Caenorhabditis elegans: one gene and its partner. The protein of the gene in region 2 interacts with the protein of the main gene of each other region in a pairwise test. Each region holds a gene or a part of one and is shown on either strand. Other genes may lie near its edges.

What was found. The genes of interacting proteins can lie anywhere in the genome.
Region 1: the proteins of magu-4 (region 2) and alp-1 interact in a two-hybrid assay, tested with the Caenorhabditis elegans proteins (3 studies listed by BioGRID).

What each region holds. Positions count from the first base shown.
Region 1 is NC_003282.8:8,850,676-8,855,550, reverse strand, and holds the start of alp-1 (PDZ and LIM domain protein Zasp), read right to left. Parts: upstream 3,052-4,875; 5' UTR 3,038-3,051; coding exon 2,939-3,037; intron 2,433-2,938; coding exon 2,287-2,432; intron 1,022-2,286; exon of another isoform or gene 1,006-1,021; coding exon of another isoform or gene 974-1,005; intron 892-973; coding exon 783-891; intron 653-782; coding exon 495-652; intron 256-494; exon of another isoform or gene 196-255; coding exon of another isoform or gene 103-195; intron 59-102; coding exon of another isoform or gene 1-58. Other genes in the region: T11B7.5 (uncharacterized protein), read left to right, coding at 1-58, 103-195.
Region 2 is NC_003282.8:10,007,849-10,014,709, reverse strand, and holds magu-4 (PDZ domain-containing protein), read right to left. Parts: upstream 4,958-6,861; 5' UTR 4,895-4,957; coding exon 4,608-4,894; intron 4,248-4,607; coding exon 4,070-4,247; intron 4,028-4,069; coding exon 3,782-4,027; intron 3,704-3,781; coding exon 3,418-3,703; intron 3,375-3,417; coding exon 3,127-3,374; intron 3,077-3,126; coding exon 2,841-3,076; intron 2,797-2,840; coding exon 2,626-2,796; intron 2,573-2,625; coding exon 2,262-2,572; intron 2,217-2,261; coding exon 1,968-2,216; intron 1,922-1,967; coding exon 1,219-1,921; intron 1,176-1,218; coding exon 1,001-1,175; intron 811-1,000; coding exon 715-810; exon of another isoform or gene 665-714; coding exon 596-664; 3' UTR 503-595; downstream 1-502. Other genes in the region: F44D12.2 (DUF7622 domain-containing protein), read left to right, coding at 189-304, 348-465.

The DNA.
Region 1 (4,875 bases), 1.2 Mb from region 2:
TAAAACTGATGCTACAGATGATGCAGGAAAAGCTGCTGTCGCCGGAGGTTTCGACACGGTAATTTCGATTGAATTGTTATGATAAAGAATATCAATTTTCAGGGAGACTACCTTCCGCGCAAGAAACGCGAGCTTTTGTTCATCGATAACCTCACTGCAGCTTTCAGAGAAATGAGAAGCCGTCGTGGATTTTAAATACATTTAATTTGTTTTTCGTTTCTTGAAATTGAATGATAAAAAGCGTTAACGTCTTGTAATTTTTGGATTAATTTATGAGACTCGGAATTCGACCGCCACTTCTGACCCAACTGCCCCAAACCTAAGAATTTTGTTCAGAAGTTGGTAAAGGGTGAACAAAGCTTGGCCATGACTTGTCTCAAGAAATTTTTTTGTAAAATATAGGCCAACTTCCGAACTAAATTTATACTATATTTTCTGGCCAAATTGAACTATAAGTGCTCTTTCAAAAATTTAGTCATGTAAAAAACACTCACCCTGAATTATCTCCCAATCCTTGAGTTTGTTGAACATATTGCTCAGCTGCAGACTTATCGGAATAAATTCCCAATGGAGAATTGTATTGCATATGTTTCACACGTTGATCTGTTTCAAAAGGAAGTGCTGAATTGTTGAAACCTTGTGGTGGACGGGTCTAAAAATAATTTATTATTCACTATTTATTAGAAATTTTAAAAAATGTTATGCTATTGTCGTTAAAAACGATTACAAATAACGATTTTGTGTGAAGCTTCCTATTTCAAAACAAAACTCAAATGACTCACATCACTGCTATGCTGCAAATTGACACGATATGGGGTTTGATCCTGTCCTGGTCCAGTATTTTCAGTTACTTCTGGACGCCAAATTCTGGTGGCTGCACCGGATGGTTGCCTGAAATTAAACTTATTTGATATGAATGAAATCAAAATTTATTTATTTTCTATTTAATCTCTTCGATTAAATTTCAAATTACCATGGTCTTGGCGTCGTTGTGATTCTCACCATCACTTTTGAATCTTAAATCATTTCAATTGAACATGAAATATATTTATAGGAAAATGGGTAAACGTAAAGAAAAAGGAAACTTGCAAGTTTTTTTGTTCAAAAATGATAAACACCTGGAAAAGGGAAATATGTGAGAGGAAGTATTCAACAATTTCATTCTCTCAGTTTTTGTGTGCGAGAGGGTGAATAAATTGTTGGAACACTCTGATACAACAACAGAGAATGAAATAAAAAGAACAGTGTCAGAAGTACATTGCTTTGTCATGAACTGACTCATCATTAAAACCCTATTTATTTAAAATTCAACTGTTCAAAGTAAAACATAACATTCAGGAGAAAATTATGCGAATTCGGGAAAAGTAAAAGCCAAAATAATAATAATTGTCAAACTGTTTTGTTTTGGTATTTCTTAAAACTATACAGCAGTTTTGGAAAGAATCTTGAATGCTGTGGCAGTTATTTTTGGCAATTCTATAACATTTTTCCATGCAACTTTTTTTGCAGTTGCTTATGTAAAAAGTGCTCAAAAATAAGTTTAAAGGGGCAAAAATATCTGAAGCTTGTTAAAACTATCAACACAGAATGATTTTTGAGGGAAAAAGGTAACGAGCTTCAAATTTAATGACATTAGAGTGCTTATAAGAGGAGCAAAACTTGTGTTGCAAAGCTGTTGCAAAGCTAAAGAAAACATTGATTGGGACATTTGACCGTTTCAAAACAGTTCAAAACAGTTGCAACGATTTGTCATCAAACGGAATATGTATGTATAAATCCTAAGTCCCTCCTTCTTCCTGCAACGAGATATTCGGAAGAATGTTGCCTTCTGCTTCCCCCGTACCGATTGGCCTGATTCTTATCTGTTCGCCTGTTTATATGGCGGGTGTTCGCTTCGAAAATTTTGGATATCTATATTCTATTGCATGAAGCACTTGCTGTTGGAGATAAACTAAGACGCAGACGGATTAAAAACGGAAAGGTAGGATACATTGGTGATGTGATTAAAACGGAGAACACTTTGACTGGTTAATAAACGGAAATACAAACTGGTAAGTAACCTACTTTGAATTGCGTTGTGATAACAAAGCTACAGATTACATAACTAGGGTTGTGTACATTTTCAAGGGATCGATTTAGGGGAAATATTCGAGAAAATTATGTCTTTCTTATTATTTTCACACACCTGCTCTGTTTATATATAATTTTTATTTATTGTGGTCGACACAAATTTTGAATAATTGGTGCTATACTGATAAATTTGAAGTGTTTAACGAGATGAGTTACCTGGTAACAATAAGTTCAATCTTCTCATGAGCTGTAACTAGAAGTCTATCAACAGCGTTTATGTCCAAATTGTCAAGATCTTCCAAACGATCAACAACATCTCCATTACGAAGACCGGCACGATCAGCTAAGCTACCACCTATTACCTGAAATTTTCAACTTTTATTCGATATTCAACTTGTTTGAATTGAAGGCTCCCTTTGCTTTAAAAAATCCCCCAACGCATGTCAATTTTTCAAATTCATTTTTTCTTACGTTAACGACTAATCTCTCACTACATTTTGTCTATGAGTTTTGAGAGAAATTTTGAAAGCATCTAACTTATTGTAATAAGTGATGTTTTTTGTGTTGCTCTTCCGATTTTCCCTGGGCATGTCCAGAGGATAAAACTGCGAGAGAAAGTGAGGAAGGCGATGAGATTGTAAATCAGTTGTGGTGATGCGGTGATTTTTGAGATCGCGGTAAGAACCTAGAGGTGCTAAAAGTGAATGTGATGGGTTTTCTTGGTTTTTGTATTAAATGTATACGAAAACATATGCCTCAAGACTAATTTTTACGACAAATTTTATTGTGATTCAATTTGGACAAACTGACAAACTACTTTATGACAAATAGGGGGACACTTATACTAAATTTATAATAAAGAGCTTACATTAACAATAAGAACAGCTCCATCTGGGGCTTCTGTCACACCGAACCCCCATGGAGTTCGGCGATCCGAACGAGCCATTCGAACGGTCACACGTTCCATCTTGATTTGACTACCTGAAATTTTATTGTGTCCTGGTCAATAAAATAGAGCGAAACAAATAAAAATAAATCAAAGTTTCAAACAGAATTTAGTAGAACATGTTTAAAAAAATATTGTCCAACCGAAAATATTCATTTTGTTTCAAATGTGTACCACTTCAAACGCAGTTATTTGCTAAAGCGCAAACGTTTCAGTCCAATAGTTACACGAAATCTTCAATAACCACGTGGCGTTTATAGATGAAAAATTTTGCAAACATTTTGACATTTTGAATTTTTACTTTTAATTAAAAATTGAAAACAAAAAAATCGTATTGTTTTCCGTATAGTGCAAAATAGAAAATAAGAGTAAAAGAAGGGAGAGTGAGATTATGCTGGATTTTGTATATTTATCGACTGTCGGGCAATTTGACGGGGGAAATGGTAGTGAATGACTACAACAGAAAAAAAAAGATTGTTGAAAAAGTAAGATGTTTTATTTAAAATTAATAAAGAAATTCAATTGAAATTATGAAACTGAGCATAACGAGTTTTCTGATTCGATGAGTCATTCGTGATTGACAGTTAATTTTTTTTATGGAACTCTTATCGTTTAACGGAACATATAGTTTTAAACTACGTTTAAAAAACGATACCACACCCAATAATTGAAATTTTAGTTTTTTCCAATTTTTTTTTCATAATCAGTGTGTTTCATAATGAACACCGTATATTACCCCAGTTTTGTAGTTTTATTTCTAACTGCCAGTAACATTTTTTAAACTTTTAAAGAGGTGATACTTTTTGTAGGCCAATCTACATAAACTTATGAAAGTTTTATAACATAAAGTTTTATAACAACAAAGCTAACGATTTTTAACATGAAGTCCTGTATCTCCGTTTGCAACTTGAACATTAGTATTAAAGTCCTACAAACCAACCAAAAAAGAACTATTTGAACAATCTGGTAATGCTACTTGCTTTGAAGTAAAAAATAATTATAAACACAAAATACCACGAATGACGTTCTGAACTAAACTTCCTAGAGATCTATCGTATGTGAGCTAAAATGTTGGCAAAAAACAATCTTACATGATCCTAAATACATTTATCGAATTGCAGAGTACAAGTTTTATTCAAAAAAAACCGTGCCAACCTTAGGCATTGGTAGATTGCCGTTCATAATCTAAAAAGTAGTTTTAAACATTGTTTTCTTATATGAGATGGGTGATTTCAGATTACATCTTCAATTTTAGGTTGAAATTGCATTGTATCAAGTCTAGAAGTATACAGAACTAATGTATAAATTAAGACGGTTGAGTTCCAAAAAAAAATTCCAAAAAATCAACTTGGTGTTGTGTTGCGGAGGTGGGGGTTCTGCTGTTCTGAGGTCTGTGCGGATAAAGCTTCAGGCCCAACGGTGTACGGCACGCGCGGGCGTGAGCACATCCTCTCGCTCGAACTCTGACATTCTCTCGCTCTTCCCGGCGCGGGAAGCCTTCTCGCACTTCATGGCCATCTCCTCTTGAGCTCCCGAGAGCCGGGGGAGCTCTCGGAATGATATAGGGATGATTTTGAGGAGGCGCAGGTATTGGACGTGTTTGTAGTAAAGCGAGTGCGCGTTGCTGATTATCAACGAAAAGGGGAGGGGGATGGGATGATAAGAAGACCGAGACGAAAATGAGAAGAAATTTGGAACAAAAGTGCGATTTGTTTGAAAGAGCTTGAGACATAAAAGTATGAACACTTGTTAGAGTAGTTTGTGGTATGAAGTATAGGGTTTTTTCAAATCACAAAACGTTTACATTACCAAGTTTATGCCAAAAATGAGCCATGAGCGGAATTATAAATATATTATAC
Region 2 (6,861 bases):
TCAAAAATCCTTTTGAGCCTTAAATAAAACAGAAAATAATTATCGACTCGAATTTATGAAAATTTTGGATAAAATTTCGAACATGTTTCTGATAATTTTTAAAGAACTTTAAAAAATGAACTGATGATGTAATTAGACGTTAAACGATTATTATCAGATTTCAGATTTTTACGAATTATTGCTTTCAGATTGGCTACACCCGTGCATACACTGGCTTAGAGCAATGGATTTGTGATCAATCTTACTGTAATGCTGATCTCAAATCAGCTGAACTCTCTTGGCCACCTGAGCTATATTTATACAGGTTGTGACTCTTGACAACTGAGAAATAATTTTGATTATTTCAGAAATATATCAAATCTCCGAGAGTTCAATGTTTTCTACATCGACTCCGCTCGCTCGTCATCCTCGATTTTTCTTGCCATTCCCATCGTTTTTCTAATTAATTATTGCCTTTTCCACTGAACCACCTTTTTCTTTCATTTTTACAAATGCTTTCAATATTTTCATATGAACAAATTTATATTTCTTCAAATTACTTCATTTTCAAACAATAAAAGCACCGGAGATTCTATGTTCTCTTTCTCAATATTATTTATTCTTCATCGACTTTTCTTTGAACCCATACGATTTTTTTCTGCTCGTCTTCAATTATTTTTTTCAGCTGAAAAATAATAAAAAGTTAAGTGCGGCACGAATTGAAAGAATAATTACCTGTAGAACAGCGTGAGTCATCATGAAGCTGACATTATTATGACTTGGCACTACAAGTGTAACTGATCCATCAAGATCTTTTTCTATTTTCAAATCCTGAAAATTAATTATTGGTATATCGAAAATTTTTTGAAAAGTTTCGAAAAAGTATTGTGAAAAGTTTCTATAGACTCCGATGAGAGCCTCTGATCCGCCTCTTCAATTGCCCGCTGCGTTTTTGGATGAGAGGCAATGAGACGACGGTAGAGACCGGGCGGGTTAATTATGTTTTCGTAAATTACCGTACCTTTTCAATAAGCTGTTTGGCTTCTTTTGAACTGATTTTCTCTCCACAAATATGTTCATTGACATCTTTTAACTGTTTAACTGACTTGAATCGAATCTTCACAAGAATAGGGAACATTCTACATCTTTTCAATCGATCAATTGCAGACTGATCAACTTGGAGGACACAATGGAGTCTGAAAATCTCAGCATAACTATGAAAATGTTTGAAAACTCAACCCTTGAGCCGTGATATCCATAATATGAGCAGTTGATACGACGTGATAAAGATCATAAACATCATCGTTTTGTTTCGAATCAATCAATACTTTATCCTTCAATAAAGCCGATACTTCATCCAAACTTGCAGTTAAAGACTCTCTTGCAACAATTGAAAACTTATCAGATTCATCAACAAGCATTTGAAGGAAAGGCTCAACAACTGCTCCAAACAAAAGAACCGGTCGTTTCACTTTTGTATCCAACTTCTCAACCCACTCATAAGCCTTCTTCGGGAACGGATTTGCATATCTGTTAGCTCGAATTGCCTGATAAACAGTCGTTGAACTTGGAATAGCTCCATGTTCTCTTTGTCGTCCCTCTTTGTCCACTTTCCATGCTCTCCATCTTCCAGTTTTGCCCATTAACATAGTCTTGTCAACGAAAACAACATCACCACATTTTAAATCCAGTTCATCTTTGTTCTCCATTGATCTATCGATATTAACACGAAGGAAGAAACTGTCACCGTCAGCTCCAAGTCTCAAACGATTCAATCGATCTCCACCGTCTTGAACTAGAAGACCTGTTAACTCCGAATTATCAGCTGATAAAGTATTCATTGCACACTCGAGTGTTGTATTTCGAACGCAATTTCCATCGATTGATAAAATGAGATCTCCTTCGAGAAGGTCAGAACCAATTGATTTTTCAGCGAGGATACCTAAAATATAGCGGAGATTATTTTGACATGAATTGCTTTCTCGTACCAATCGCATTTCCACCACAAAGTTTTACATCACTTCTTGGAACCTCGACCAGTCTCGGTTGAGATGAACGGTTTACAAGAAGAGATTCAGAGTGATGATTTCCACGTGGCAAGTGATATTTCTTATTGGATCTTCCCTCAGCGTAACTGTGCATTGCACTTCCAGTTGTTGAAATTGAAAAATCACTTCCATCTTTACTTATGCAATGACGTGGAGGTACTCCACTCCCTCCAGTCAAGCTGCAGGTAGCTGAAACAATTTCTAGACTACAGCAGTTAACTTTTGAAAACCTACAATTATTAGGATACTGATTGGAAAAACTTGTGCTTGGAAGTCGAATGGAGTTACTCGAAGACATAACAGAAGACATAGAGTCATCCCGAATTGTAGGATATACTGGTGGATGACTTGGACTGTAAACAGCTGATCTTCTGTGGGGTTTTCCTTCCATTATAGTTGATGATGTAGGTGTGAAGTGCATAGAATATGGACGAGCATCTGAAGTTGTCGTGTTCGATGAAAAGCTTCTTCCATCCCATCCTCCTCGATGAGATGATATTTGAGACATTGTTCGTTTTTGCTCACTATTTTGACGGATTAGTCTTCTGAAAGTCAGAGTTTTCTTCTTTTTTTTGACTAAAAATGTCAAGAATCTTACGTCACAGGTGACGTTGGTGTGCTAAATATGGTACTCTTAGGAACATATACTGGAACTCCTTCGATATTGGTTCCAGCAAATACGAGATCTTTTTCATTAACTGAAGATGGGCTCCATAAAGCTGTTGGAGCGGCTGTTGAAGATGAACTTATTTCAGAATGCGCTGTGGATCTGAACATTCAACTTTGTAGTAATCAAATTTGAAGGAAACTAACTTTGCATTGAATCTTTTATCCAGTGCATCCAGCATTAATTTTGTATGATCAATGCTACTTGAATAGGTTGGAGCACGTAGAGAACCATACCGTACCAAGGGACTCATTGATGCTGGAGAAGCTTGTGGCATTCGCAGAGATCCCTGACGAAGAAGAACTTGATCATTTGAACGATCAATATTCGCTTTTGCAACAACAGTTCGCTCTTTATCAGATCCACCATTTCGACTGAACCACTGAAACAAGAATACTAAAGTTTCACTAGCATTTTATAACGAAGGTTTACCCTCGAAAATATAGTTTGTCGATGTTTATCCTTTCCATTATGATCACCTCGTTTAGTAGATTGAAGAATTCCAATGACTAGAGGCTCTCGAGAATTTTTAATTAGCATCTCAGCATGTTTAGCATCATAAACAGGAGTGTGCATAACATGAACAACTCGTTGCCCTGGAGCCAATCCACTACGAGAAGCAGCACCGTTTGGTTCGCAGGAATTAATGAATACTCCATTGGATAGTTCAAGACCTACACCTGAAATGTAAAACTACACTCTTAAATGTAATAAGTAACTCACCATAGTTCAATGGCAGACAAACATCACTAATTTTATTGCAATTTGATCTTCTTCTAATAACAAGATGAATGTGATGACAGTTGGATAACATTCCCATTACACTTCTTTCGTCCATATCTGTTACAGATATGTCATTGACCATCATTATATGATCCAGCTTTTTCAATACATTATCAAATGGAGAACCGTGAGCAATTTGTCTAACATATATTGGACCATGAACAATTGAACCATCGTCCGTACGGCCTCCACCAAGCATAATTCCCAAGTTTGGTTTGTTGAAGGGCTGAAATTAATTTCGTTTTTAATTTTTATCTTGGCTGTCTGAAACGAAACGATTGAAATGAGTTTTCTTTCAACTTACCAAATTAATTTGAACAGAATGAGTATTCCAAATATCCACAATTGCATCTCCAGTTGTCTGTTGACATTTTCTCAAAGCTTCATCTCTTTCTTCTGTAATTCTAGCTCCATTTTGTTCTGCTTCTGTAAGCCTTGCAATTGCAGCTTCTTTTCGAGCATTTGCCTGAGCAGTTTCTTCCATATTGACTTTCAAGAGTCTTCTTGTATTTTCAAGTTTCTGTTTTAATGCAGCAACTTCTTCAGAATCCTGAAATTTTTTTTTAATTTGATTGTCATTGTAAAATCAAACCTCTTTCATTTTTTCAATTTCTTTTTGCAGTCGATCCCTCTCTTCATTTTGACGAGAGTTTTCTTCTAATACAATACTTCTTTCCTGCATTGTTTCCTCATAATCTCTCTGGAGAGCTTCATATTGTAACCGTAGCCGTTTGTTCGCTTCTTCAATTTCCATTTTATATGTTTCACTTCTGAAATATATTTTTTTTCATAACGGGCCATTTTCCAATGGTTTTTAAATATTTATTAGTTTTCTTCTGCTGAAAATTATTTTCGAACGTTTAAAAAAACTTGAATTTCAAATTTTTAAAGCCATTCAAATTTTTTACAACATCATTATGATTAAAAACTGGCCCGAAAAGTTTCAGATCGACAATTCTCTAGTTTAAAGTGCACCAACAAATTCTCTCAAAAATGACATATTGATTTTATTTCGAAATTTCAGGAAGTTAACTACCACTTATCATATACATTTTGGTACCAATTCCAGGTCTTTTTAATTTTCAATAAACATTTTTGAGCTTTTCTAGTGATTTAAATCATGAACTAACCTATGTACTTGTATTTGTAGACTATCAATTTTCTCTTCAAACTCATCAATTTTCTTTCCAATATCATCTCGCTCTTCAGATGCTTTTCTAACTTTTTCCATCCATTTTGCCTCAACTTCTCGAATCTCTTTTTCCATTTCCTCTGCAATCCGTCTTCGTTCTGCTTTTTCAAACTTTAACTGTTTCACTAATTTCTCTTTTTCCACATCTTCAAGCTTTTCCTCTTCATTTTCATTTTCATCCTCTTCAACTGACAAACTCGACGGTTTTGCTTCCACTTCTACCATATAGAATTCTGAATGAAAAACGGAGAAATGGGTCAACTGGACGACATACGGAAAGGACTAATTATAGAAGATGGAATAGGAGAAAAGATAGAAAGAAAATAAGTGAGAAACCGGTCGAATGCGCAGGAATATCACACTGATTTGTTCATTCGGTTCGTATGGAATAGATGGAGGAAAAGAAGAAGACGGGTGAATTAGAAATAACACAATTTGAAGAAATTTCCTTCAATTAACAGTTAAAATTAGTTGGAATTTGAAGGTTACTACAAGAATGAAAATAGAGGCACTTGAAAATAGAAACGAGATGTTTTTAAATATTCTTTTGGAAATACATGACAGATTTTTGAAATACAGACCAACGTTATTGTTTTGCTAATGAAATGAAGGAACATATACCACAAACGAAACACTAAAAAAACTAGAAATACTGAAAAACTCAACTTTCGATAACGATTTTCCCAAAACCTGACTAAGCTCACTGTTTGAATTTCTTTCAAAATGAAAACTGTGAAAATAATCAGTAATTTGTTCCACATATTTTTATACCAATCAGATGAAGTGTGTGCGGAGATCAAAAGCCACACTGCGATATTCCAACTGAACATTCAGATTATAAGATCCATATATTTCAAAATAAAAACAATACTCACAGTGTTTCGATCCAACGAAAATTCACACAAAAACTGTCTTAATACGGTCAAGATGGGCGGTGCATGGGTCCGAAATAATCCGTTAAAAGACGAGTTTGCAGGAAAAGGAAAAGAATAAACATACGAGTCTTGCCATCATCATCGCCTCAAATACAAACATACAAGGCAGAGAATCTTAACAAAAAACTATGTTTTGATACGTTTTTCCATGTTTCGATAATATAAATTTTTACTTGGCTCTTGGTAAACTTTAAGCTTTTTTTTTTGACTTTTGACAAACTTTGGAGCTCCTACCTTTGAACAAAATATAAAACATCGCTAGTTGGTAACCTGATCAATTTTTTAAAAATAGAGTCGATTTAAAATTTAGGCCGTTAGCTTTAACAGAATATGTAGAAACGCTGTTTTCTAGAAGAAAATATTATTTTGAATATTTCAACCGTGAGAGATAGTGTAATAAAATCGGTTAAACTTTAACCTTAAAAACCCACATGACTTTTTTCAACAAACGATATATGTGTATTTACAATGTTTGTGATGTGTGAAACGAATTGTTTGAAGTTTGTTCAAATTGAATTGAGATGAAATAGAAAAATGAAAAGAGTAGGAGAAGGAGTAGGGAATTTTATGTAGGAATTTTAATTGAACTTGAACTACATGTCATTCTTGTGAATCTGAAAAATTACCTATAATATAATAGGGCTTCCATGCAAATAGAGGGTGCCTACTTTCGTGCCTACGAGGCAGGTGTAACTAGTTTTTAGGGTGATATACCAAAGAAACCTATCACTGGAGTTGAGGAATAATTTCAGGCTAGTAGTCCTAGGTGTATTTCACAGCATGTTGACAATTTACAAATAGACGTTTATCAGTAACAATTCATAGAAAATTTCTGTGAAAATGATTTTATCTTTAATACATAGCTGAGATTTAAATGTAGTTGAAATCCCATTGACTAAATTCTAATCCACTTCTGATGGTAAACTCAATTTCATAAGGAACATTCTAACTTCATGAAATAATAAAAGATAAAACATTTCATAACAAATCATGTATCCAAGTAGATTGAAGAGAAGTAGGTTATTAGAGAGAAATGAGAGGATACATACAGATACAGGTCGGTTGCGATGGGCGCACGACGAACGAACAGTTCCTCCCGGAAAGTGAAAGAGAAATGCGGGAGAAGGTGGGTGAAATAGTGTTTGAAAACAAGAGAGTTTAGGTAGACAACCAAAGAAACTGTACGAATGGGACGCATGGACAAACACGCTCGTTTCTCTACTGCTTCTTCATCTCATTCACGTTGGAATCTTACTT